Linked DNA regions of Macaca fascicularis. The protein of the gene in region 1 purifies or fractionates together with the protein of each later gene. This does not show direct contact. Links are inferred from orthologs where the notes say so. Each region holds a gene or a part of one and is shown on either strand. Other genes may lie near its edges. The genes, in order: SAP30, ARID4A, BRMS1L, ING2, ING1, BRMS1 and HDAC1.

Evidence for each region.
Region 2: the proteins of SAP30 (region 1) and ARID4A purify together in Homo sapiens (affinity purification with mass spectrometry; 5 studies listed by BioGRID and IntAct, with this or other methods). This does not show direct contact. The link is inferred for Macaca fascicularis from reciprocal best matches to the Homo sapiens genes SAP30 and ARID4A.
Region 3: the proteins of SAP30 (region 1) and BRMS1L purify together in Homo sapiens (affinity purification with mass spectrometry; 4 studies listed by BioGRID and IntAct, with this or other methods). This does not show direct contact. The link is inferred for Macaca fascicularis from reciprocal best matches to the Homo sapiens genes SAP30 and BRMS1L.
Region 4: the proteins of SAP30 (region 1) and ING2 purify together in Homo sapiens (affinity purification with mass spectrometry; 3 studies listed by BioGRID and IntAct, counting the BioPlex papers as one, with this or other methods). This does not show direct contact. The link is inferred for Macaca fascicularis from reciprocal best matches to the Homo sapiens genes SAP30 and ING2.
Region 5: the proteins of SAP30 (region 1) and ING1 purify together in Homo sapiens (affinity purification with mass spectrometry; 6 studies listed by BioGRID and IntAct, with this or other methods). This does not show direct contact. The link is inferred for Macaca fascicularis from reciprocal best matches to the Homo sapiens genes SAP30 and ING1.
Region 6: the proteins of SAP30 (region 1) and BRMS1 purify together in Homo sapiens (affinity purification with mass spectrometry; 3 studies listed by BioGRID and IntAct, with this or other methods). This does not show direct contact. The link is inferred for Macaca fascicularis from reciprocal best matches to the Homo sapiens genes SAP30 and BRMS1.
Region 7: the proteins of SAP30 (region 1) and HDAC1 purify together in Homo sapiens (affinity purification with mass spectrometry; 19 studies listed by BioGRID and IntAct, counting the BioPlex papers as one, with this or other methods). This does not show direct contact. The link is inferred for Macaca fascicularis from reciprocal best matches to the Homo sapiens genes SAP30 and HDAC1.

The regions. Positions count from the first base shown.
Region 1 is NC_088379.1:178,114,134-178,118,231, reverse strand, and holds the start of SAP30 (histone deacetylase complex subunit SAP30), read right to left. Parts: upstream 2,801-4,098; 5' UTR 2,559-2,800; coding exon 2,244-2,558; intron 371-2,243; coding exon 245-370; intron 1-244. UniProt on the Homo sapiens protein: Involved in the functional recruitment of the Sin3-histone deacetylase complex (HDAC) to a specific subset of N-CoR corepressor complexes. Capable of transcription repression by N-CoR.
Region 2 is NC_088381.1:126,146,077-126,150,302, forward strand, and holds the start of ARID4A (AT-rich interactive domain-containing protein 4A), read left to right. Parts: upstream 1-1,426; 5' UTR 1,427-1,601; intron 1,602-2,092; exon of another isoform or gene 2,093-2,589; intron 2,590-2,693; 5' UTR 2,694-2,750; coding exon 2,751-2,756; intron 2,757-4,226.
Region 3 is NC_088381.1:103,694,360-103,696,820, reverse strand, and holds the end of BRMS1L (breast cancer metastasis-suppressor 1-like protein), read right to left. Parts: intron 2,132-2,461; coding exon 2,014-2,131; 3' UTR 501-2,013; downstream 1-500. UniProt on the Homo sapiens protein: Involved in the histone deacetylase (HDAC1)-dependent transcriptional repression activity. When overexpressed in lung cancer cell line that lacks p53/TP53 expression, inhibits cell growth.
Region 4 is NC_088379.1:188,295,656-188,299,840, reverse strand, and holds the start of ING2 (inhibitor of growth protein 2), read right to left. Parts: upstream 2,801-4,185; 5' UTR 2,644-2,800; coding exon 2,472-2,643; intron 1,623-2,471; exon of another isoform or gene 827-1,622; coding exon of another isoform or gene 820-826; intron 1-819. UniProt on the Homo sapiens protein: Seems to be involved in p53/TP53 activation and p53/TP53-dependent apoptotic pathways, probably by enhancing acetylation of p53/TP53. Component of a mSin3A-like corepressor complex, which is probably involved in deacetylation of nucleosomal histones.
Region 5 is NC_088391.1:101,291,382-101,295,522, reverse strand, and holds the start of ING1 (inhibitor of growth protein 1), read right to left. Parts: upstream 2,801-4,141; 5' UTR 2,782-2,800; coding exon 2,634-2,781; exon of another isoform or gene 2,140-2,633; intron 1-2,139. UniProt on the Homo sapiens protein: Cooperates with p53/TP53 in the negative regulatory pathway of cell growth by modulating p53-dependent transcriptional activation. Implicated as a tumor suppressor gene.
Region 6 is NC_088388.1:8,063,357-8,066,234, reverse strand, and holds the end of BRMS1 (breast cancer metastasis-suppressor 1), read right to left. Parts: exon of another isoform or gene 2,329-2,878; intron 2,019-2,328; coding exon of another isoform or gene 1,958-2,018; coding exon 1,893-1,957; intron 1,449-1,892; coding exon 1,409-1,448; intron 1,051-1,408; coding exon 1,043-1,050; 3' UTR 501-1,042; downstream 1-500. UniProt on the Homo sapiens protein: Transcriptional repressor. Down-regulates transcription activation by NF-kappa-B by promoting the deacetylation of RELA at 'Lys-310'. Promotes HDAC1 binding to promoter regions.
Region 7 is NC_088375.1:202,688,324-202,691,775, forward strand, and holds the end of HDAC1 (histone deacetylase 1), read right to left. Parts: coding exon 3,437-3,452; intron 3,356-3,436; coding exon 3,215-3,355; intron 2,648-3,214; coding exon 2,539-2,647; intron 2,446-2,538; coding exon 2,315-2,445; intron 2,036-2,314; coding exon 1,883-2,035; intron 1,425-1,882; coding exon 1,376-1,424; intron 1,107-1,375; coding exon 1,079-1,106; 3' UTR 501-1,078; downstream 1-500. UniProt on the Homo sapiens protein: Histone deacetylase that catalyzes the deacetylation of lysine residues on the N-terminal part of the core histones (H2A, H2B, H3 and H4).

The DNA.
Region 1 (4,098 bases):
TTAATAATATAAACTGAGGTCAAAAAAGAGTAAGTTATGTGACAACAGAGCCGCAAAAATTGTCAATTTAAAATGTAACAATTCAAACTGTGTAAATGCATGACAACTGGCTATATTTAATTTTGCTTTCATTTTCAGATTTCTCAAATGTTTTAAACACTTAAAAGATTGTTCATATCTTTTTATAAAGGTTTCAGAATGCACTACTTAGGATTTATATTAAGCATAAAAAACTTCCATTTACCTCTGGGGTATCAATATCTTGAACAGGTGAATCACCTCCATCATCATCACTCCCTTTTCTCTTTCTTCTGTTTCGAACACTCTGAATTAAGTTTTTATGATAATCACATATGTAAAGATGCCTTGCCTGAAACAGAAAAGTTTCACACACTGCTAATGATTACAGTAAAATGTGTCTATGTATTAGGAAAACACATATGCCACAGATAGTAAAAATAAAGACAGTCAAGATGGCCATTGTTAACACAATGAAATATTTATACATTTAAATCCTAAACCCTGTTAAAACATAAGAAGTCTGGAATACTGTTAAAAGGATGGTGGATGGGGAAGGAGGGGTTGGTTCCATTTGGGGAAGGGGTGAAGGGAGGGAGGGAGAGGAGAATGAGAAATTCCAACCCTCTGGGTTTTGTCATCAAATTGCAGTGAGGGGCCGGGCGCGGTGGCTCACGCCTGTAATCCCAGCACCTCTTGAGCTCAGGAGTTCCACACAAGCCTGGCCAAAATGGTGAAATCCCGTCTCTACTAAAAATACAAAAAATTGGGCGGGCGTGGTGGCACTAGTCTGTAATCCTAGCTACTCAGGAGGCTACCGCAGGAGAATCACTTGAACCTGGTGGGTGGAGGTTGCAGTGAGCTGAGATCGCGCCACTGCACTCCAGCCTGGGCAACAGAGTGAGACTTTGTCTCACATAAATAAATAAATAAATAAATAAATAAATAGCAGTGAGGATGACATGAATTAGTTCATGTTGAATTTTTAACTGTTAAGGGGAAAGATGATGCTGCCCACTTTTGCTACTTGACAGTACTTTCTCTACTTAAAGAAGAGCATATTTTTGTAACATAATGTATGCTTTCCAGTCTTTCCAACTGAATGCCCAAATTATATTCCGGATACAAAACCATCCGTTTTTACAAATGAGCTATCGACTTCATAACTATATTTAAATTTCAGTTATCAACTTTTCTGAATATTAAATTAAATCAATGTATTTATTTATAACACATTTTCCCAAAGCAATCTGAAATTATGCAAGTTCACCTGAAAAGTTTCTCACGGATAACACTGAAAACTGTTTAAACGGGCAAAAAAGTATCACAAATAAACTTTTCAAAAACTTTAATTACACACACTCCTGCGAACTGGAGACTAACATTTGAAACAAATACGGACTGAGCTAACAGGCTTTTACATTTACTTCGAAGCCAAGCGCAAGATAAAAATACGCAGGACTTGTGGTAGGTTCTTGATACCATGTTATTCATTTACCGCTAGCCAGATCTCCCAAAAGTGGCAACGGCTGTTAGATGGTCAAACGAAAAGACGCGCAGGAGGAGGAAAAAAGAAATCCTGATGGCTGCCAAGGGGATGGCAAAACCGCAGAGGCTACGTGCTCCCCACCATCGGAGCAGCTGCCCTCGGAGCTGACAGCGCAAACGCCGTTTACAGCCCCGGCTCACTGCCAGGCGGCGGGCGAGCTCGGCTTCCCTCTCACTCCGCTCCGGAGGAGACGGAGCACAGAAAGGAACAGGATCTTCCTTGATCGCGAAGGTCCTCCACTTTTCCCTAGACCAGGGGAGTTAGCACCGCCTGGGGCCAAACACCAGCTTGGGCAGCGAAACAAAGGCGCCTCCATTCCAGAAGAGCTGCCGGGCTGCAAGAAAACTACTCTGGGCCCTCGGTCCGGCGGTCCCCTTTGTTTCGTGTCCTGGTCGCAGAGGAGAAGGAAGAGGGAAGACAGTGCGCGGGAGAGTCGCAGGCAGCGGGAGGCTGGGGGCAGGGTGGGAAAGAAAAGGGGAACGACAGCGTGCGTGTTGTGTGTGTGTTGGGGTGGCGGTCGGAGTTGCAGCGACTTTGTTATTTGCTTCCAAACACAGACTCCACGAGACCGCACTGCAGCCAGGTCTGGGAGACCCCGCCGACAATCCGTGCCTTTGCCCGACTCCTGGGGCCCCACCAAGGGACAGGAGGGCAGGGCGATCCCGCGGTTACTTACGCTCTTATCCAGCTCGATCTTCACCTTCTTCTGGGAGATGCTCTTCTGGATCCTCTTGCTGAAGCTGGCGTTGCCTGCCGCCCGGCCGCAGCGCTCACCATCCTCCCGCAGGCAGCACAGTTGCCCTGGGCCCGGCCCGGCCGCCCCCGGGGGCCCAGCCACTGAGACCGTCCCCGCGCCCGGCACCTCAGCCCCGGCGCCCGCGCCAGTCCCGTTCCCCGCGGAGGCGGCGGCGGCCGCGGCAGCGACTACGGCGGCCACTGCAGCGGCCGCATCTCCGCCGCGGCTCATCTCGTCAGGCGTGAAGCCGTTCATGTCTCCGAGCTCCCGAGCGCCGGCGCTGACAGAAATCCCCTCTCTCCTGGCCGCTCCGCCTCTCTCCGCTCCGGCAGCGGCAATTCACTCTGTACACCAAGTTAGCGGCACGGTCAAACACCAACCGTCCCGGGCCTGCTGGTCTCTGCTGGCCCCGGAACAGTGGACAGTGCTGAGGGCCCGGACGCAGACTCTAGCGTCTTCTGGAGCCGGGACCCCGCTCACTGTCACATGGGGACTTCAGCAGTTGGACCGCTACGCCTCCGCCTCCCTCCGGCCCCGGGGACTGCGCAAGCGCGACGCGCCCCCTCCCGTCCCGCCCCTTTCTTTCAAACGCGCGGCCCCATGGGAATTGTAGTTGTCTGCTACGGAGTCAACCTGAGCTCCGCCCTGACCCTTCGCCCTGAGAGATGGAGGAACTACTAATCCTAGCATGCATAGCGCGGCCACGGACCCACTTTTTTTTTTTTTTTCAGTACCGGGAAAACAGGAGCGTGTGATTGGGGTTTACAGTGTTTTCTCTCTCTCTGTCTCTAGGGAAGTCGGGCTGTGTTTAGCTGCTGGGATTTCGTAGAATTGGGTTTCAGAGAAGTTACTCGATTCCTGAGGCGAAACATAAAGGGATGGGAGTGGTGTGGGAAGTGAGCGTGTGCGGAAAAAAAAGTTTCGAGGCCGTTTCGCATTTGTGGAAACACAGCTTTTGGTGTGACCGCGCTTTTGTGGGAAACCCAAACCAAGGAGAACTCAGGAGAATTGGCGCTCTTCGGTCCTGGAGGTTCCGCAGCTAACATCCCGGCTTGACCAACTATCGAGGCAGCAAATTAGTAGGGCACCTCCTGGGAGGAAAACGCCCATCCTGACTTCTCAACTGTGACAGGTCCCCCTCACAAACGCCTCGCGGGGGGCGGGGGGGCGTTTCTAAACCCTTGCATGTTCCTACAAGGGAAATGTTTTTATTCTTGGACGCACGGAGTTGGCCGCCTCCTGAGGTGGAGTACGGACCAGCTGACAACAGGGCTCCTTTTCACCTCCACGCCCAACCTTTTCCATTTCTCCTCAAACGGTTTTGGAGAAGGGCGGAGTCGTATCATTTTAAAGGAGACTTGGAACCTCACCAATACAAACGCTGCTCGACTGTTCCCAGAAACTTCCCTGCATTAGCTCTACCGGCGCGGGGAGTAGAAAGCGCATTTCCTGAGACCTGGCAGGCGCGTGCGCTCCTGGATGCTGCCCGCGTTTGTGCGCTCTTGCTTATATGTATGTGTTCGCGGGCGCGCGCGTGTGTACGTGTGTGTGCCCGCGTACGCGTGTATGTCCGTGCGTGCATGCGGGGGGAGGTGCTCGTGGAGGGCGGGGCGAGGGATGGGCGTGGCTAACACGAAAGCTGCGCCTTTACTAGTTAAAACGCGTCATTATTTATCAGAAGATATACGCTGCTTAAACACAAATACGTTTTAAAATATATTTTAGGCAGTAGGGTTTTGTTTTGCAAGTTCTTTTAGTAAGTAAATTTAGTGATAAATAATTGTTTTTTCTTTTG
Region 2 (4,226 bases), on another chromosome or scaffold:
ATGCCTTTCACTTTTTTATGAATACTTTTGAGCAAAATCACTGTTACGAATAAAAAACTGATTCTGCTTAGTTGTTTTCTTACTGAGAAATCTTAGTCCACGTGGATTACGGACGCTATGTCACATTTAAAAAATTACTCCATTCTATAAAACAACTAGCCAATTTATACTCCAATTCCACTATTTAAAAATATGTTTCGTTTAACAGAATACAAAATGTTAACAGAACAAGACCAACGTCTATCTTATCGGGGACGTCCTTTTAAGATGTTTTCAGTCCCTGCACAACCAATCTTTCCTTTCAAAAAGCAGCATAAGCCTCGCGCAGAGGGACACAGACGCTTGTCTAAGGTCACAGAAGCACCGTCTGTGCTGGCAAGTAAATTCCTCAGCATCCAAAAAGCCAGCGCTTTCTCCAGTTTCCTCATAGCTTTTTCGCGTGAGGAGCACGCGGAAACCTCTACCCATGCAGAATGTTTCCAAGAATCACTTCTGACCTGTCTTAACTAAGGAGACTCCCATAGTTTGTGCCAATCAGGTGGAGAATATGGCAAGTATCCAAAATGCACTTCCAAAGACAGGAAAGACTGCTCAGACAGAGGCAGAATTCAGAAAATCTCTCACATTCTCGAAAGCCCGAAAAAGCACCGCCAAGAAAGACTTTTGCCTCTCCTCCACCTCTTTCTCTCGGCGGGAGAGGAAGCCTCGCCCCCATTCATCCCGCCCCTTCTCCCCACCTCGCCGCAGGGAGAACTTTTACCATGGCTTCCTGCGGCCCCTTCACTTCCGGTGCCGGTGCCGCTAGGGCTGCGCCATCCCCCCCAGTCAATCGGACAACCATAGCCTCCAACTGACCTTTCTGACAGCTCTGAGACTCCTCCGGCCAAGACTAGGTGCTGTCCTGGAGGAAACGGTGGAGGACGGACGCACAAAAACCAATCTACCTGATGAAAACTCCGTTCCCTTCTTGCCAGAAACATAAAATGCGATGGAGCTACGGCGACCGCTGCCGAGACAAAATGGCGCCGAGAACCTGGTTTAGCGCAGGCGCCTTGGAAAGACCCTGCCCCGCCCCCGTGCAAGCCCCTGGCTGCAATTCTGGGTTCCGTTTCCATGGGACACTCCGCCGCCAATCCTCGTGCCGAACTGCTCTTCCTGACCCCTCAATTCACCAATCAGTGCCCAGTCAAGCACATCCGGAGTCGTCTCTACCAATCATTTCTCAAGACTTGCTTACTCAATAACCAACTCTCCAATAACGTTGGTCTTCGGAAAAAGCCAATCATAAGTGGAAGATGTCCTACCTGCTGTTTTTCGCACCAATCCATGAAGTTTCAGAGCTACATCCAATGAGGACGGCAGGTAGCGAGGTCCTATCCGAAGCTCTTCGGCGTCATGAACAGCCAATAGGAGTTCGTGTAGAAGCGAGTCTGCTCAACAGCTTGTTATTCGGTGGATTGTGGCAGTAAATCGGGGCGAGTGGGGAACCGGGCGCAGGAACTGCAGCCGCGGTTGGGAGTGGTGCTGCCCGGACGGGGGCCCACGGAGGTCAGAGGGGAGGAGGACTCTGGAGCTGACAGTGCGCACTTCACCCGCAGTTGGTAGGCGGGGAGAGGGGAATCGGGGGATACTGAATGGATGAAGCGGCAGTGGCAGCAGCTGCTGCTGCCCGGGGTCCCGGTGCAGTTGGAAGCTTCGGAGGTGGGGAGAGGGATGCTAGGCAAGTGGCGCGGCGAGCGCAAGAGAAGGGGCCAGCCATGGAGCAGCGGCAGCAACTGCAGGAACCGCCGCCGCAGCTGCAGCCGCCTCGTCCGCTTCCCCGGGTTCCCGGGAAAATGGCTGTGGGGCTGGCCGCGCCGCTAAGTTTGCTTCCGCGCCGTGAGGAGCGGGCTGCTTGGGGGAGCCGTTCCCCAACTCCGCGGCGCGTCCACCTCTGCGGAGTCCGTGGCAGGACTCGAGGGGCTGCGAGCTGATACGTCTCTGGGCTGTACAAAAAGTTGAGGCGGGCGCTGGGAGGAGGCAGCGGCTGCTGCGGTGCGGCTCCCCTCCCCTCCCACACCCTGTCCGGGCCACCTCCCCTCCTCCTCCCCTCAGTCCCCCGCCCCCTCCCCCGCGCGGGTCTCCCGGGGCTCTGGCGGCTCCCGGCTGAAGGCCGCGGCCCCTGCCCCTTTGGGTGAAGGAGCGCTTCTCCTTCCTGACATGGTGCAGAGCAAAGGAAGGAGAGCAATGGCGCCGTGACACTCCGCTGCCGCCACCGCGGGCCCGGGGCGGGCCGAGGGGGCCGAGCAGCGGAGGCGGGGCGCGGGCCGAAGTCGGGGTATCCAGGGGACAGCGGTGCGGAGGCCCGGCGGTCGCCTCCGCGGGGGACCTGGGGAAGCCCGAACGGCGCCCTGCCCTTTTCCGGAGCTATCTGTCCTGGGGCTCCGAGTTCAGCATTCCGGGTCAAAGTGGCCAGCGAGGCGGGGGCGCGGTGGGCCTCTGGCAAGCTCCGGGGCGGAACGGGCTGCCCTTTGGCGCGCGTGGGGTTCTTGTTGCCCCCTCCGCTCCTGCATCCTGGCTGCCCTCAGAAGGGGTCTTGTTCCTTGGCTGGTGAGGATTCTGCCCCTCCCCGCTGGCGTTTGTTTACTTTCTTTCCCTTGGTCGCTCCCCGCAGTTGACTGATTCTGTCTGTGCCTCTTTCCCCCTCCCCGTAGTTCTAGCGACTGCGACGATAGCTCGCTGAGCTGGAACCCCACAGATCACCAACAAAAATGAAGGTAAGTGGAGTCAACGCTGCCCCGATCCTCGCGCCTTGGACACTGCCAGTCGTAAGGCTAGTGCCGTGGAATGTCATTTGTTTTGCTCCTCAAAATTGATGTTCCTACTGATCAGCAGTTTCGGCATAGGAGGATGTGTTGAATGGGTGAGAAATGATCTGTGTGTCTAAATGCGGAGTTTGGGCCCTCTCTGTGGCAGTACTTTGGAAAGGCTGGTGCAGCCTTTCAATTGTTGTCCATTCGGATAGTATTTTTAAACACTTCCTGTGTTGGCAGCAACCTTTGCAGAAGTAAAGCTTTTGTCCTGCTTTGGTTCTTTGGGGGATTTTTCGAAAATTTTTTTCTTCCTCAGTGCCAATGCGATTTTGTAAAAGAAAGAGTACGTGGATTAAGTAATTAAGTAAAGAAGGTGTCATTTCTTCTGTGTGTAAAGTGAACTTATGTGGCTAAAATATTTGAAGTTGAACTATAATAATAGTTTCAGTTAAATCTTTCCAGTAAATATTTTAAAACATATACTTATTCTAAAAAGATACATATTCTACTGAGGATGACTGCAAATATCAATATGTGGATGGTTAAAGGGAAAGGATCTCATATAGCATTCTTGAATGCTGTGGCCATTGAATGTTTCAGGTCAGATTTTTATTTGCCAAAAGCATTCCTATTCAATTTGTATTTTTTGTAAACGTTCTTAAAAGGTAGCCAATTCCTGTCTTATTTACTGTTTCAGTATATTAAGCTCTGAAATATAGCATTTTCCCAAACTTTCTCATGGTTTTCTATTTTCTCCAAGTAAATGACATATTTAACATTCTTTAATATTACTTGGGAAAACTTATTAGAAAACAAAAAATCATTTTCTACTTAAAAACGTATCTCCAAAGTGTACACTGTTAACTTTGCACTTAACAATGTTAAGTTGAACTTGTATGGATACACTTTAACTTCTGAAAAAAAAAAAGGTAAAATGACAGATTGAGATAGCAATCATCCTGTTACTGTAAAGATTAAAATGAATGGTAGAGTGAAATTTCTTGCATCATTCTATGTATCATTCTGGTCATGTCCATTTGCTGAAAGTAGATGTTTCTTAGTAACGCTTGTTTTTTTATACTAAGAAGATCAGTGTGGTAAACTAGGTATGTCTACAGGTCTTGAACCATCGGTTCATATCTGCATTCATCAGCTGAATTCAGACTTAAAACCTTTCAAATGCAGCTTTTAGCAAATGAATTTTCCAAATTGATACTCTCCTTATGAAAAGATGTTACCTTTACGTACCTTTGTCAATAAACAATTATATATTGTTAGTGTTAATATTAGTAGCAATATTTATTTTAATTAATTTGCAAAATTTCAGGAAGCTATAAATGAATAACTTAGTTTTATGATATGTGTAATATGAAATATTTTTTCTGATTTTTTTATTTTTCTGCTTATATAAATAGAATTTTTGAAAAATTTTGT
Region 3 (2,461 bases), on another chromosome or scaffold:
CAGGAGTTTGAGACCAGCCTGGCCAACATGGCGAAACCCCGACTCTACTAAAAATACACAAATTAGCTAGGCACAGTGGCACGCACCTGGAATCCCAGCTACTCAGGAGGCTGAAGCAGGAGAATCGCTTGAGCCCGGGAGGTGGAGGTTGCAGTGAGCCAAGATTGTGCCACTGCACTCCAGCCTGGGTGACAGAGTGAGACTCCATCTCCAAAAATAAAAATAAAAATAAAAAAACAAAGATTTTCTATTTAGAATTTCATAACTTACACTGTACCTTTTAATCAAAATACAATATATATGCATATATTTTAAAATTAAGTATAACTTAGCTGTCTTGAAGATCTAAATATACCACAGAAAGTGCTAGGATTACAGGTATGAGCCACTGCACCCAGGCCACCCCATATCTATTAACGTAAACCAATTCAAATCTTTCTTAGAAGTGGATAGGTTATAAAAAGAACTAAATACACATAAGTAATCCAAGACACTACAAATCACACTCAAACACATCTTTTTATTATATACTAAATTTAAAAATACAAATCTTATTAAAAATGCTTATCAAACATTGTATACATAAGTACTGTCAAATACTATTGGGTTATGACATTATGTACATTTGCTAATGTTAGTTAGAAACAGAACAATGTAATATCACTTTGCTGACACTGAATTTCAGAAGTTAAGTGTTTTAAAATTTGGTAACTATGAAGTAGTGATCTGCACAGGAAGATGTTTGGAGAGGTAAAATAATAAGAAAACAAACGGAATAACACAGATATTTCTGCAGTAAGTGTTAATGAGTAGATTTCTTCCTCATCCTCTTAACTCTTATTGTAACAGAAATTAAAGTGCACAAGACCACCAAGAATACTCGATTTGGTGTACCCTAAATATATACTACAGCCGGCTGTGCTGCCATATCGAGGGTTTTAATTCTTTGTACTGTTCCTGAGGTTTTGGAAGTTAATTTTGAATGTGGCTAAGGGAAGGGAGGCCAACACTTTCTAAATTGCACCAAATGGCCTTAAAGTGTAGAAATACCAAAGATAAAAATATTAATTTGGAAACAGATTCAAGGAAATAATCCCTGTCTACTTTGCCCTAGGAATAAAATTAGAATAGGACACAGTTTTACCTCTGGAAAATGCTTACTAAAATCTGTTTCAAAAGACCAGACGTGTACAGCAAGCACAATACTGTCAGTTATTGTTCACCACTTATATACTGCATCATAAATACCAGGTATAAATACCTGCCTCTAAAGGGCCACTAGAAATACAGGTAGAAGCATGTGATCACTTTACGCTAATTTTACTCATTACGTATAATTTGTAAAAATAGGTCATCGCCCCACCATACAATTAAGGAAGAGGAAAAGAAAAGTTGCTATTCTACAAAAGTGCTCCTTTTAGCTTTCAAACCCAATAGCTTAATTTTGGGTAAAACAAGATTGTAAGGTACGGCCATCAGTTCTAAATAAGCTGATGATGCCATATATACATCCTCATATATACACATATATATATATACTCATATATATATGTTTAAATTTCAGTTCTGATTTAACACTAATGTACTAGTACAAACCATTTATAGGAAACATTTTATAGACCTTATTTACAAACACACAATGAATGACAAAGATATGGAAAATTTTTAAAATTGCAGATAAATGTAGTCATAGTTTACTAAAGATAAAACAAATTTGCATAACTTTTTTAAAAACCAAAGAAAAATCTTTAGAAAGAAACCCCTAACATATACAGTATATCTGTTGGTCATCAGACCTAAGAGGCAAATCAACGTAAGGATCATGATAAAATTTTTATTACTGTTTCTTTTAATAACATATCAATGAGATCTACTTAGAGTACTACCTACAAATACACATTCTCTCATGATTCAGTGAGAATATTAAGTTATTGAATACATTTTTTTTACTCTCATGGCACATTACATTTGGTAACACTAATAAGGTAAATTTAGATAACACTTAAATCATGATTATGAATGTTTAATTGAATATTTTCCTTTCTGTAGCTGTGAAATGTAAAGCTTAGATTTGCTTCCATCAGGCCTCTTAAACCAAACTTCATCATGGTTAATTGTTGTAATTACAGCACTAAAAAGAAAAAAAAGAATGAATGAATGAATTACAATATGTCTCCTCAATTCATTTTAGATTATTACCTATATAAAACCAAAATAAACTGGCCTACAACAGTAGACTCTGGTACATAATTGTCGTTTACCAGAATGCTGCATATCAGCAGTGCATGCTGCCAAAAATATCACATTCAGCAATACTTAGTAGATCATCCTTCTTTTCTTAATAGAGTTGGTAAAATTTACTATTAGCACTATTAAAAGCACGTTCTTCCTACTCCATCCCCACCCCACCTCTTAAAAAAACAAAACAAAACTGGAGTTAAAAGCACTACTTATCTGGTAT
Region 4 (4,185 bases), about 10 Mb from region 1:
AGAAATTTATTTGACTGCCTATATGATTTATATCACTAAATATTGCTAGAAATATTAGATCCAAAACCAGAAAAGACTTAAGCACTAGTGAAGAAATAAAAAACATGAAATCTGAACCCAAAACACAAAATATATATAAACATAAAACTGAAAGTTGAGCTCAGTAACCATGCGCAAAGAGTGAAAACTGGATGAGTTTTTAATCATTGATCACAATCTTCATGGAGCTAAGAATTTTTATAATCTCTTAGTCCTGTAAGGCCTACTATATTACTAATCTTACCAGAGCTATTAATACATCACAATTATAGATGATCCGAAAGCAGATTTCCCTGTCAACAAATTATAGTATCCCTTACCAACTTCAAATAGCTTAACTCTTGTGAAAGGAAACGTGTCTTCAAAGAAATGTAAAAACCTGCAAGCTTGCTGGGTGCGGTGGCTCACGCCTGTAATCCCAGCACTTTGTGGGGCAGAGGCGGGCGGATCACCTGAGGTCAGGAGTTCAAGACCAGCCTGGCCAACATAGTGAAACTCCGTATCTACTAAAAATACAAAACTTAGAGGGGCGTGATGGCAGGTGCCTGTAATCCCAGCTACTCGGGAGGCTGAGGCAGGAGAATCGTTTGAACCCGGGAGGCAGAGGTTGTAGTGAGCCAAGATCCAGCCACTGTACTCCAGCCTAGGGGACAGAGCAAGACTCTGTCTGAAGCAACAACAACAACAACAGCAACTGCAAACTTTACAAACTTTAGTGTTATTTGAAAAACTAGAAAGGTTCAATATACAATTATTAAGCACGTATCATTTTTAGGTTACCATTCATGTTTGTGCTCCATATCTGCAGAAATCCCCTTGGACAGTTTTTATTAAAATTTAAATTGTTTGAAAACAAGGATATGCATCTAAAGTTGCAGGAGCTGGAGCCAAATATTCTACATCTAATTAACTGGACGAGTTACTTAAACTCTTTCTAATCTGTAAAAGAAATATTTATATAATGGTCTGGACTCAGCGCATCAGTTTGAATTCCCTCCCCCCCACCCCTCCCCCAAACGCGGATCAGTCCTATGAATCCCATGGATTCAGAAAACACAAATTTATCAACTAAAAAAAATCAGAGACACTTATGTCACCCAAGAAGTGGATTCCTTTAGAGACTTTTAAACTACAGGATTACTGACGTGTTAACAAAAACAGAGAATGGGTCCAGGAAATTATCTTTAAAGTTCATATGGCTGTTTCCATACTATGTTCAAGGTCTGTTCCTCGATTCAAGGTTATTAAGCGCAACACATTTCCCCTTTTAAACTGCCCTCCTAGTAGCACCACCGATAGTAGGTGATAACACTGTAAGGAAGGTCGGATTCTGTCCCGGCTTCCCGGGTCGGCCCGTAAAGGGTGGTTTCGCCTTAACACTTAAAAGTCGGAGAAGGAGGGGCTTGGGGACGCCAGGCGGTTGCCCAGTCAACCAACCCACTTCCTCCTGAAGCCCGGAAGTGACACATGTCCCGGAACCTACGCGGAGCCAGGGTCCGAGACCCTCTGAGCTGCTAATCTCCGTCCTGATCCATTGGTTGGGAAAGAGATTGGAAACATCACCGCAAAACATGCTGCAAACCCCGACTCGGACTCCGCTGGGGCCGAACCAACGCCCTCGCACAGCCTCGACTCCCTCCCCAGCAGCCGGCTCGCCGCCGCCCCTCTCGCAACCAGCCATTTTCCAGGCCCGCGGGAACGCGCGCCGCGCCCCTCCCACTCCCACGTCACACCCGCAGGCCCCGCCCCCGGCGCGGGGGCCCTCCCCGCCACACACGCCCCTCTCTTCCTCTCCCGCGGGGGACCCCTCCCCTCTTAACCATTTTGCCGAAAGAGCTGGGCTAGGGCTGCGGCTCGGGGCGGCCGAGAACTTTCCCGGGGCAAAAGAGCGGAACGGACTGCTCTCCTCCCGGCCGGGGTAGGAGCGCGGAGGAAGGCCCCCTCAATCTGCCTCCGCGGCCTCTCGCCCCCTCCCTCCCGCACGTTCCAAAGCACCCGCACTCCGGGGTGGGGGCGAGTGAGGTGGGGAAGTGCGCCCCGCAGACCAGCGGGAGCCCGGCCGCTCACTCCCTCTGGCCCTTGCCCGGCTGCAGTCCTGGGCCGGGGCGGCAGGGTCTGCGGCACGGGGCAGGCGAGCGCCTGAACAAATGCTTGCTGCTTAAAATGGCTGATTCCCCTCCGCGGCAGCTGCAGCCGCTGGGTCTGCAGCGGGGGCTGACGAACAGCCCCCACCCCCACTCCGGGGACCCCAGAGAAGTACTCGCCCACCGCGGGGCAAGGAGGGCCGCGAACCCAGTCTCCAGTCCTCCCCGTCCCGCTCGGCAGACCCTCGGTGGGCTCGGGGAGACTGTCACGGGAGAAAGGGAAGGTGGCACTGCCCCGGCAGGCTCCCTGCCACCGGCTCCCGAGGCCGGCAGCCCCGCGGCCCCTACCTTGATATTTGTTGTCCAGCTCTCGCAGCACAGACACGTTCCTCTGCATGTCGTGGGGCAGCGACTCCACGCACTCAAGGTAGTCCTGCACGTAGCAGGTGAGCAGCCGGCTCCGCTCCCCGGTCAGGAGCGCGGCCGACGAGTACAGTTGCTGCTGCTGCTGCCCTAACATCCTGCCGATGCGCGCCGTCGCCGCCGCCTCCGCATCCAGCAGCCGCACATGCACCGGCCGCGGCCGCCGCGGTCCCTCAGCTCAGCAGCCCGGCGCCGCGGGGACCCCGCAGCCGCTCGAGAGGGCACGGCCGCGCTCCCCGATCTCCACTCCCCCCAGAGCAGCCCTCACTCCCCGCCCCCGCAGCACCAGCCCAGGGGCGGGGCGAAACTGGGGCTCCCTCCTTTCTCCCCTCCCGCTCCAGGACCGGAGCAGTGGGGATCCCCTCAGCGGGGCCGGCGCCGGGGTCCCGGACGCTGACACTTCCTGTCCCCCTCGGAGTCCCCAGATGCTACCAGTGCCGTCTCGCAGCCCGGATCCCCATGACAAGCCCGTCGCCGCCTGCCTGTCCCCAGTCACCCTCCGTGCCTGACGGGGAGCCTCCCGCTGGCCTGCCCCCGCCCCTCCGCCCGCGGCCGCCTCTGCGCCTGCGCAGCGCTCGATCCCAATAAGGCCGGGGCCCGCCCCTACCGCCTACCGGAGGGTTCGCATTCTCCCGCCTTCGCTTTGCCGCCCGGGCGATTGGTCTGCCGGCTCCGGGCTAGGGGGGGAGGGTGTCGGGGGCGGCCAAACGGCAGGCCGCGCCCCGCCCCCCTTAAAGGGGAAGCCTGGGGAGCCAGTCTCTGCGCCCCGCGTCTGAATGGGACCCGGCAGGGGAGGCGGCTCGGTCCTTCCGGCCGCCCTCCCCGCGGGGAGGGGCAGCTCCGCCCGGCCACACCGGCTTTTTACCCATCCGGCGGTCCGAGTGCGGCTCCTCGCGCCCCTGCAAAGGAGCAGCAGGCGGTTCCTTTTTTTCGGACGACCCGGAGCGAGGCCTGCAGGACTGCGCGTCCCGGCGGGCAGCGGGCGGCAGGCGGCGGGCGGCTCCCGGCATGCGCGGCAAGGCGTTCCCGCCGCCTCCGAGCTCGCCTGGGGCTGCCGCCCTCCTCCTGCCGGGCCCTCGGGCTCGTCCGGCACCGTGGGGCTGATCGGGGAGGTAGGCGGTGCTTCCTCCGGCCCCCGGCGTCGTGTGCCCTGCGGGTTTCGTGGCCCTTCCCCTGCGCTGGAATCTTCTATGTCATTTAGGGGGAAGGGATGCGGGACGGCATCTGCCTGCCAACACATAGGTCCCACAGACAGCCTTTAAAAACAACTGCGTTTGGGGTGTGTCAGAACATTTAAACACAGGACGTCGGCGGGGCTTCCTGGCGGAGTGGGGCACACGCCAGCTTTACGGGACTTTTTGCTTGGTCCTGCCCCAGGACTACAATCGGAGGGGACCTGGGGCATGCAGACGCGAGTAAAAACCTAGTCAGCGGGCGGGCCCTCGGCCCCGTAATCTACGTGATCTCCTAGTGGGGTTTAATTTCGGTGTAGTGTAAACGAGATGCCAAGCAGAGGAACTGATTTTAATTTCATATGGACTTTTTTGAAAGAAATGGGTGCAAATAGAATGAATGCATGGAGAATTTTAATGGAATGCCTATGTAAACAAGCCCTATTGTGAGTACTACCTTTGAGTTA
Region 5 (4,141 bases), on another chromosome or scaffold:
AGCCTCCTGAGTAGCTAGGACTACAGGAGCACAACTGTAATGGGTCATTATTATTATTTTTTAACTGCAGTGAATGTACTAGCCTTGCTTTAAAACAAAGCTGGTAGATTTTACTTTTGCATCTACTGCTTAAACAAAAACATCTTCACATCTATTAAAGTCAATGGACTTTAAAATGCCATCAAAAAGAAAAGAAAACCTCTTCAGTATTTAAATATAAAACTTCTTGGGCATGTTAGAGGACAGTGCATATGATTTTAAAGTGTAATTAGGCAATTTCTCAAGAAACAAAAGCTGTTAAAAAAGTCTAGTTGAGGCCGGGCGCGGTGGCTCAAGCCTGTAATCCCAGCACTTTGGGAGGCCGAGACGGGCGGATCACGAGGTCAGGAGATCGAGACCATCCTGGCTAACACAATGAAACCCCGTCTCCACTAAAAATACAAAAAAAATTAGCCGGGCGTGGTGGCGGCGCCTGTAGTCCCAGCTACTCGGGAGGCTGAGGCAGGAGAATGGCGGGAACCCGGGAGGCGGAGCTTGCAGTGAGCCGAGATCGCGCCACTGCACTCCAGCCTGGGCGACAGAGCGAGACTCCGCCTCAAAAAAAAAAAAAAAAAAAAAAAAAAAAAAATCTAGTTGAAATAAGGGCAGTAAACAGTCTTGCCAAAAGGCTACTCACAAAGAAATTCCAGAGCTCTTTTTCCTCAAACAATAACCATTAAATTAAACAGTACCAGATTATTCTCCTAAAACCTTTTTGCAGTCTCTTTAAACAAGGCAACAATACTACTTTTTTTGTTGAGACGGAGTTTTGCTCTTGTTGCCCAGGCTGGAGTGCAATGGCGCGATCTCGGCTCACTGCAACCTTGGCCTCCCAGGTTCAAGCGATTCTCCTGCCTCAGCCTCCCGAGTAGCTGGGATTACAGGCATGCAACACCACGCCCAGTATTTTCAGTAGACAGGGTTTTCTCCATGTTGGTCAGGCTGGTCTCCCAACTCTCGACCTCGTGATCCGCCTGCCTCAGCTTCGGAAAGTGCTGGGATTACAGGAGTGAGCCACCGTGCCAGGCCAACAATACTACTTGTAAACTAGGAAGTGTATGGGGAGGGGCTGGGAGTGGGAGGGATTGTCTAAAATGGTACCCCCTCCCTTTCCAGATCTTATCTCCAAATAGTTATAAGATATATACCTAACACTAGAGTAAACATAAGAAGTTGGGCCAACGCTGAAGCTTCTCTAAATGGTATTATTTTCCAGAGTATATTCTCAAGCTAAAGACAGCTCTGAAGACATTTCCTAGAGGAACAATGCAGGCTGCCTGCCACCAGGAGGAATGCCCTAGTCTCAAATAGTCACTAATTATAAAAATAAATAGCTGTGTTCAACGTATCCAAGTAATACCAATTTATCCAACTTATTTATCATAGATGTTAAAATATGAGTGTGTACCATTTATTTTTAAATGGATTTAGGCTTATAAAATGGTATCACTTCTTTTCATCAGTAATCAAAGTTCTAAAGACAGTATTGTCATTTGATGGAAAAGAAAACCATCATATAAATTTAAAATTTAATAACACAGAGGTTATTTGGCATCACAAGCAAGCTTCCATCCAGACGAAGCCTAATTTGTGGGGAAGAGAAACAGATATCCCATTGCAAAATTACCAAGAAGTATTTCTGTTACCTAATAGTTCTTTGATACCCCAAACAAAGTATTTTATCAACAAAACCACTAAGTACAAATATTTATAGACAGGAACACCACCACTGCGAAATAGGAAGCCATCCTTCCAGACACTCTGCTCCTTGAATGCCAGCAACTCAGCTTCAGACACACTGCTACCTTTCTTCCAAACATACTCCACACCAACATTACCATGGAAAGCAGCAACACATGGAATTTACAGATTAAATGAGATTGTAGCAACATTGAAATTGGTTTGTCCAATTATTTTAAATGTATTTTAATTTTACGTAAGGGTTGCCCTGAAATTCTTTATGAAGCGGACTTCCCAGGGGGTGGGTAGGTATTTTTATAATAATGTTTGAAAAATAATTCAAGCAATCTCAAACACCATTTTAAATCGATAAACTAATTATAATCCATGTTTACGAATTAACAGACAACCGATGCCTACTAAGCAAAAGACGTCTGACTTCCTGTAGAGTAGATCTGTGAAAACAAGCTTCGTCTTTCAGAACTACGCAGCAGAGCTCAGCATTTACAGCGAAGTCCAAGGAGCTGTGACCCTTGCGACAGATTCTCGCGCTTCTCAGCGCTACCAGTTGCACGGCTCCAGTACTCCCGCAGGCGCGGGACTGTGATCTTTCCTGAAGCCAAAAAGTTCATCATCCTAGGTGAACCTGAAGCAAGCAGCAAGCCAGGCTCTCCCCAGCAACGACAGGAGAACAAAGTGGCTCCGTGAACTTTGCTGTCTTGACGGCTGGGACCCTGCACCCCGCCCCGCGCTTTTTTCTATCGTTGAACGATCAGAGTGGTCTCAGCCCCTGCCTCCCTTCCGTCCGGAGCCCCAGGGTCACTCCACGGAGCCCGCCCGCCCCGAGGACAGCACCTTCCAGGAAAGTTCCCGCGCCGAGGGTCCCGCTCGTGGACGCAGCCCCAGTCACTCACGTTTCCCCGGCCACGCGCGGCCCCTCCCTCGGGTCAGCAAAGATGCGGCCTGGGACTGTCTGCGGGCCGGTCTCGCGGGTCGCGGGAGGCGGCCCGAACTGCAGCCCCGGCCCCGAGCCCCCAGCCCTGGGGTCCCCGCTACTGCCATAACTCCGCGCCCAAAAGTGGCAGTGCTGAGTGGGGGCCTGGGCGACACCAGCCGGCCCTCCAGCCAATGGGGAGGAGGCCAGCGGGAGACTCGCCGCGCCCCCCGAGAGCCGCCGCATATGGGAATCGCCGATTTGGAGGGCGGAGGCCAGGAGGAGAACCAACCACACCGCAAGGCGGAAGAGCACAGCCCGCCCCAGCAGCGACAAGGCCCAATCCGAGGCTGGAGGCCGAGCGACCCGAAGACGTTCAAATCAACCACACTCCACCCCGCTCCTCCCCGAAAAAGAAAAAAGAAGACAGCGGAAACACAGACCCATGCCAGTTATTGCGCTACACCCGCCTTCATCCGCCTCAGCGACCAATCGTTCCGCAGGGGAATGATAAGGACATTCCACGAAGGACGTCACAGCCAACCACCGGAAGGCTGAGGCGGGACGTTCCACAGTATGCTAATGAGATTCCTATAAAAGCAGCTGCGAAGCTACGTCTTGGATAGAGCGCGCAGGGGCGCCTTCCCGGTAGGGGTATCTGGTGCTTTCGGGCATGGCGATGGATTTTTTTTTGCCCCCACCTAACTCTTCCGTTTCCCTACTGCGTAGCTTTGTAAACATTAGTAAACTCGGAGTGGTGATCCACATTCAAAACAGAGCCCCCAAAGCCTTGACTGACCTCGCAGAAAACTTTCCCCAACAGCCAACAATTCCCGGCGGACACGAACTCGCCACCTCTCTCTGACACCCTGGGCGGCCAGATCTGCAGAGAACGACCCACAGGTCCTCTCATCTGCCACAATCCTCTCCAACCCAGCGATCTGCCCGCGCCCCCCCGAGCGCAGCGCTGCGCAGATGGGCGCCTTCCCCGCCTCCGCTCCTCCCCTTCCCTTCCCCACGGCACACAGAGAAAAACCCTCGTCCTCCGCAAACTACAACCGGCGGCGTCGCCCCTCGCAGTCGGCCCTTACTCGGTGTCCAGTGCCAAGTGAGGGCCGGAGGGGACTGGGCGGGGGCGACCGAGCTACCCCGAACGGAGTACTACCCGGTACTTTATGTAACACTCGGATTGGGGACTGGGTGGGGGGCGGCGAAGAAGGGCCAGGGGAGCGGCGTTGCTCCGGACCGAGGCACCGGGTCCGCGGGAACCCCGGCCCACAGCCGCCCTCCTCCTGCAGCCACATCTCGGCGTCCTACAGCCCCAGGCGCCGGCACATCCCTCCATCTCGCGCCGTAATCTGCACCCCCTCCTAGAGGACGCGGCTTGGACCCGCCGCCCCCTCCCCCGCAGCACCCGCCTCATCACTTCACTACAAAGAGCGCTTTGGTCGCGCAGCCTTGCAGCGAGACCTCTCGCGCCTCCTTCCT
Region 6 (2,878 bases), on another chromosome or scaffold:
TGAACATGGGTTTTAGGATTTTAGGTTGCCATGGAGAAAATATGCCACGTCTCCATGGAAACCAACCTATTTGCTTAACTGAGGTTCTGGGGGTGGTTCTGACACTCAGCACTAACCAGGGGGAGTCTGGCTGTGAGGTCGTTAGCACATGGTGCTGCTGCCGGCTGCCTCCTACGCATGCAGGCTCTGCCAGCCTGCCTTGCCAATCTGCCAGGCAACTGGGACAGGTGCAGACATGACCCAGGCTTCAAGCACACGCACCCATCCTCCCCACCCGAGGCACTCCGCTGGCGCCATATGTTCTCTGCCCAGTGCCAGGCAGCCCAGCGCCCACCTCCCCCTCCCCAGTGTGGCCCCACGCACAGTGCTCCAGCCTCTGCTGGGCAGTGCAAGGAGTGGCAATCTGCAGGCACCTCAGAAGTCAGCCTGGTTCAGGTGCTCCCCACAGAAGCCCTGATTCTCTTGCAAGGTAAATCACACATACACGGGGCACACCAGAATCCCAGGAAAGGTTTTAATTCTAGTCCTTGAAATCTGAGAGGCAGACACCAAGAACTGCCCTGAGAAAACCTGGGGGGCCTGGCATCTCGCCTCCAGCCCCAGCCAGGGTGGACAGCCCCCCTAGATATCACGTCTGACTCAGAGTTCCTGCACAGTGGGGCCTGGCTCCCTGGCCCTGAGGCCGGAGAGCCTGCATCCAAGGTCAGCAAGAGGATGTGGCTTTGACTTCAGCTGTCTTCTCTGTCAGGGGAGCCCCAAGAGGCGGATCTTCAGGAGCGGGAGGTGGCAGGCGGCTCAGGGATGGAGACAGCAGCCTTGCCTGGCCAGGTCGGCTCCACAGCCACAGCTGTGCAGGCCTCGAGGAGGGCAGAGGAGGAGTCCAGGCCAGTGCCAGCGGAGTGGGAGGGCCCAGCAGCACCACAGGAGCCTGGCTGGGCAGACCCTGAGGGGCCTGTGGGTCTGCCTGTCTGCAGCAGGAAGATGAGAATCCTGGGTGCGGTGCCAGCTGCTCTGAGGGTCCCCCTGGCTCTGAACAGCAGGGTCACGGTCCTGTGCGTATGTGGGAAGGAGAAAACTGTCACCAGTGAGGAAGCTGAAAGGAGGGGGGCAGCCACTTACTGAGCGGAGTGACTTTGGGCTGGCCCAGGACAGGCCTCCTGGGCAGCTCCACGGCCCTCCCTGACCCCTCCTGAGTGGGAGCTCCATCAACCCAGGCTTCCCCAGCCCCATCCTGGTTCCTGCTCCTCAAACTCCCACAAGCCCCTCAAATCTAGACCATCCTAACTTTCTTGGGCCACTGATTCTGACACAGCCACAGCCTCTCTCTGGGCTCCTTCCTGGAGGCTGAGCTGAGGGAAGGTGATGGCAAGGCGGGCAGGGGAGGCCGTACAACAGCCATAGTTCTTACCATCCGATTTTCTCTTCTGAGGGGACACAGCTGCCCTAGCCTGGGTGGATGAGAAGAAAAGCCCCCCTGAGAGCCCACCTACAGCCTGGCAATCCCTGCCCCACCTCCCACCTCTGTGGCGTGTGGGCTGCTGCCTTAGTGCTATGCCCCCAGGGCCAGGAACATAGGGCCCCCCAAGCCAGAGCTCCCATGCTCCTGACCGCTGGCCAGCTCAACGGCTCTCCCGCCTCCCTGCCCCCCTCCCCCCTCCCACCCCATCAAAACCTGCCCTGGAACAGGAAGGGGCTGACACAGACTAGAAATCCCTTCTCCCAGGGCCGCCTTGAGCAAGAGGACTTGTGAGCCAACTGCGATCCAGGGACCCTGGGCTGAAGATGGGGGAGCCTTGGTGAGCAGAGAACTCCCAGGCCTGCAGATGGCAGAGCTGCTGCCAGGGTGGGGGGCCCTGAGGTGGGGCAGGGCACATGGGCAGCAGCGGCCCCACCTTTTTGATGGCCGTCCAGTCCTCCAGGATGTCGATCTCTTGAAGCATGTACACGATGTATGGGCCTGTGGTGGGGGTCAAGGAAGCCCAGTGGAGGCGGCAGGTGACGAGGGCAGGGCCACCCACCTGACATTCAGGAGTGGGGGTACAGCAGACAGCATGAAGTGGGAGCTGAGGATCTGGGTCCGAGCTCAGGTTCCACCTCCTACCTCTTCTCCCCCCAGTTCCAGGGTCCTCCTGGAACCAAGTCCATGGAGGACACCAAGTGTTGTTCCCCATCCCTTGCTCACCCTCACCTCGTCTTGAGGTCAGCTGGCTGAGGCCCATCCCATCTCACCCTGCAGCACAGCCCTGACCTGGCCCCTTCCCCGATCCAAAGACAGACGCAGGGCTTCTCCCTTCAGAGACAACTCCCCTTCCCCACAGTGCTCCCTACCTGATGTCTCCATGCCTTCACCTCTCATTCGCTCAAGTCACGGCCTTCCAGATTCCTCCCTCCCTGCCTGGGCCTGCTCTCCAGCACCAGGTGGCCATAATGACTAAGGCTGGCTGCTGCAGGAATGCCCTCAGGGGCACAGGAGGACTCAGCTCTGCCAGGACAGATGAAAGCACAGCAGGCCCTGGACTAAGCTTAAGCTAACCCTGCCTAGGGAGGGGCGGAGGCAGCTGGTGCCCTCTGGGATGTGGGCACCCCATGGTAGGGCACAGGAACACACAGGAGAGTGAAGCCATAGGCACTGGAGTAAGACCGGAGAGGCCTCACAGAGGAGGTAACGTTTGACATGAGCCCTGGACAGTCAGGACAGGCAGGACTTCCAAGAGGAGGGTGGGATATGAGCAAAGGCTCCCCAGGGAGAGCTGGGGACCCGCTCAGACAACCCCAGGAGATGGAAAGTCCTCAAAGGCCAAACCTCACTCAGGCTCGAGTGCAGTGGCACATCATGGCTCGCTGCAGCCTTGATCTCTCAGGCTCAAGCAATTCTCTT
Region 7 (3,452 bases), on another chromosome or scaffold:
TGCCCCGTCTAGGTTTTTATAAATGTCTTACTCAAGTTCAAACCTCCAGCTTGTGAATCAACTGTGTCTCTTTTTTGACTTGGTAAGCAAGTATTAGGCTTTGGGGTGGGGGGAGGTCTGTAATGTGAAACAACTTCTTGTTGTCTTTTTTTCTCCCATTGTTGTAAATAACTTTTAATGGCCAAACCCCAGATTTGTACTTTTTTTTTTTTTCTAACTGCTAAAACCATTCTCTTCCACCTGGTTTTACTGTAACATTTGGAAAAGGAATAAATGTCGTCCCTTTAGTGGTGCTTTAATGAGTGGTCTTCTGGGGGTAGGGTGAGAAGATTGGTGGAAAGTAGTTCACCTCAAACCTCAAGGGAGGAGTTAAGGCAGGCAGGTAAGTTTATGGGGTTTTCTTGTTCAGGGGGTTGCCCCAATACTCATGGACACCAGAAGGGCAGGGAAGTAAGAGTTGAAACCAACCCAATGACACGTAGGAAACAAGCTCAGGAGGATATAGAAATGTACCATTTTATTACAAAGAGGCTCACAAAAATGAAAATAGTATCTCAAAAAGGAAACTAGACTAGCAACCTCCACCTGCAGAATTAGGAGAAGACGGGGCAGGCAGTGTTTCTTGGCTCACTTGAGGCCAGTGGGAAGGTATGAAAACAGAACCAATCTAAAAATGGCTGATGTTACCTTAGGAGCCTGAAAAGAACAGGAGATCCTTGAAGACCCAGCCACCCCTTCTAGAATATTCAATAAGGGCACCTTTCCAAAGCTACTAAGCAGGCACTTCGCATTTCAGGATTTTGTCTTACGGTTGCATAAAAGCATCCCTTTGACCCAGACCTGGCACCCTTTATGGTTCAAGGTTAAGAACTGGGGAAGAATGGGTGGCAACGTGGCCCCTGGAAGAGTTCACCCAGCACAGCTGCCCTGGGCTCAGGGCCTTGGTTTCTGTCCCTGGGGATATTTATATTTAATAAATTTTTATATAAATACACAGAGAAATAGAAAATATAAAATCTGAGGGGTTGGGGGAGAAAGGTGAGGGACTCAGCAGGGAGCCAGAGCTGGAGAGGTCTGTTCAGGCCAACTTGACCTCCTCCTTGACCCTGTGGAGAGAGCAGAGACTGGCATGAGATGACCCAGCCCAGAGCCTCGGGGCAAAAGTGCAGACACAGTGACTTCCACAGGATCCCAGGTGACTACTGGGGGCTGGGGCTCCTAGCTCTGCCTAGAACTGCAGAGCTGGACAGACTGGTCCCTGAAAGAGGCCTTTGTAAGCTGGACCAGCTGTCCCTGTGCCTTTCTTCAGAGTAGTGGGACAAAGGGGCTGGTGCTCCAATGCCAGGGAGATGGCTGCAGGCAGCTCGTTCCTCACCCTTTGGCTTCTGGCTTTTCCTCCTTGGTTTTCTCCTCTTCTGTGACTTCTAGAACACAAGAGTACAGGGATGGCTAAGGGCAGCACCTCTGGAAAGACCCGTGAGGTCTTCATTTACCCTGAGACCCCTTCCCCAACACTACGCTCACTGGACATAAAAGAGAGAAAAGCCCATCCCTGGTCTTCCCAGTGAGCCCTGTAGAGAACAGGTTGGACCGGTTTCCCAGCCTGCTACAGCCAGAATCTGGTGGGCGGAGGCAGCCCCCTGGGAAACTGGGGTGCAGTGCTGGGAAAAGGGCTTGGGTGGTATGTGAGAGCCGTGCTTGGCCAGTAGAGGTTCGTTGTTTTGTGGGCCCTGCCACTTCTGGGAGACACTGAAAGGCTCAAGGAACTGAGGAAGAGCCCCACAGGAGCTGGCAGGGCCTGAGTCACTCCCTCCTCCCACTGCCCTACATAGATTCATCCTCTCAGGCTCAAGACCCAAGTCCCGGCTGAACCCAAACCCACCTTTCTTCTCCTCTGGGTCTTTCTCTTTTTCATCCTCTGTTTTGACTCTCTTGGCTTTTTTGAAGTTGGAAGAGTTCTTGCGGCCCCCCTCTCCCTCCTCTTCAGAATCGGAGAACTCTTCCTCACAGGCAATTCGTTTGTCGGAGGAGCAGACTGGGAGGGAGTGGGAAGCATGGGTGAGAGCAGGCGGGTGCCGATCTAGCTCAGCATCTATGCCCAGTGCTTCCCTGCAGGCCCTCCAAGAGACACCAAGGGAAAGGGAACCAGAGAAGAGGGAGGAGCTCAGGCTCCCTAACCTGTTCCTACAGGCACTGGAACTGGAAACAGATTTCTCCAAGGTGGGGAGCTTGGAGAGTGTGCAGCCAGGAATGGTGGTGGAAGTGGGGGCTGCCTACTGAGTGGAAGGCATAGGGCTCTGCGTCTAGGTCTTACTCGAGATGCGCTTGTCAGGGTCTTCTTCGTCCTCATCGCCACTCTCCTCAGGGATGGCGTCCTCAGGAATCGCCTGCATTTGGACCCCAGGTGCATGCGGCAGCATTCTAAGGTTCTCAAACAGCCGCTGTCTGTGGCCAGTGGGAGAGAGTAGCAGGGCTCTGGTCAGGGACAAACCAAAGTCAGGAATGTTCAACCAAGGGGTGGCTGGAGGATATACTCACTTGATCTTCTCCAGGTACTCATTCGTGTTCTGGTTAGTCATATTGGAAGGACTGATGTGGAGCTTGAAATCCGGTCCAAAGTATTCAAAGTAGTCGTTGTATGGAAGCTCTGATTGGGGCAGGGAGAAGACCGTTAAGAGACCTGGCCACCGCACCTGAACCATTTGCACGTAAGCACCCTAAAGCATTTGTAGGTTTCTCTGGGCCCTTGATCCATCTGTCAAACAGAGGAGAATGCCTCCAAGACACGGTGAGACACGGGTACCTATGGGATTTCCATCTTGTTAACATCACTCTATGTCTATACCAGTGGTGTATATGTCGCTAGGAGAAGGTCCATGTTCCTGGTTTAGGACACTTGAGCCCATGCTCATTATGAACGCTCCCTTCACTCACTACTCCAGTTACTCTACAGAGCAGAAATTCCAAAGCTGTAAATTACCACTGAGAACTTTGTCCAGACCAAAAGCAGAAGGGAGAGGGGACAGAGCTAAAAAGGACTAGGGAAAAAGTGATGGTTATGGTCTGCTGATCACAAGAGGACATGCAGGGGACTCAGTGACTAGTATCAGAAGAACAGTGGTCATATGACCAACGGGGAAGGGGTTATAAACTTAAGGACAGATGAGCTCCAGCTCCCACCCAGCCCAGCCAAACCTGGCCCTGCAGCTATTACCATTAGGGATCTCCGTATCCAGGGCCACAGCTGTCTCGTATGTCCAGCACCGGGCAACATTACGAATGGTGTAACCACCACCTCCCAGCATCAGCATAGGCAGGTTAAAGCTCTTGACAAATTCCACACACTTGGCGTGCCCTTTGGTGGGAGAAGGGGTGCTGAGTTACAGGAGCACCAAGCAGGACCCCGCCCACCCATCCTTGTGCTACCTGGTCTCACCTTTGATGGTTAGATT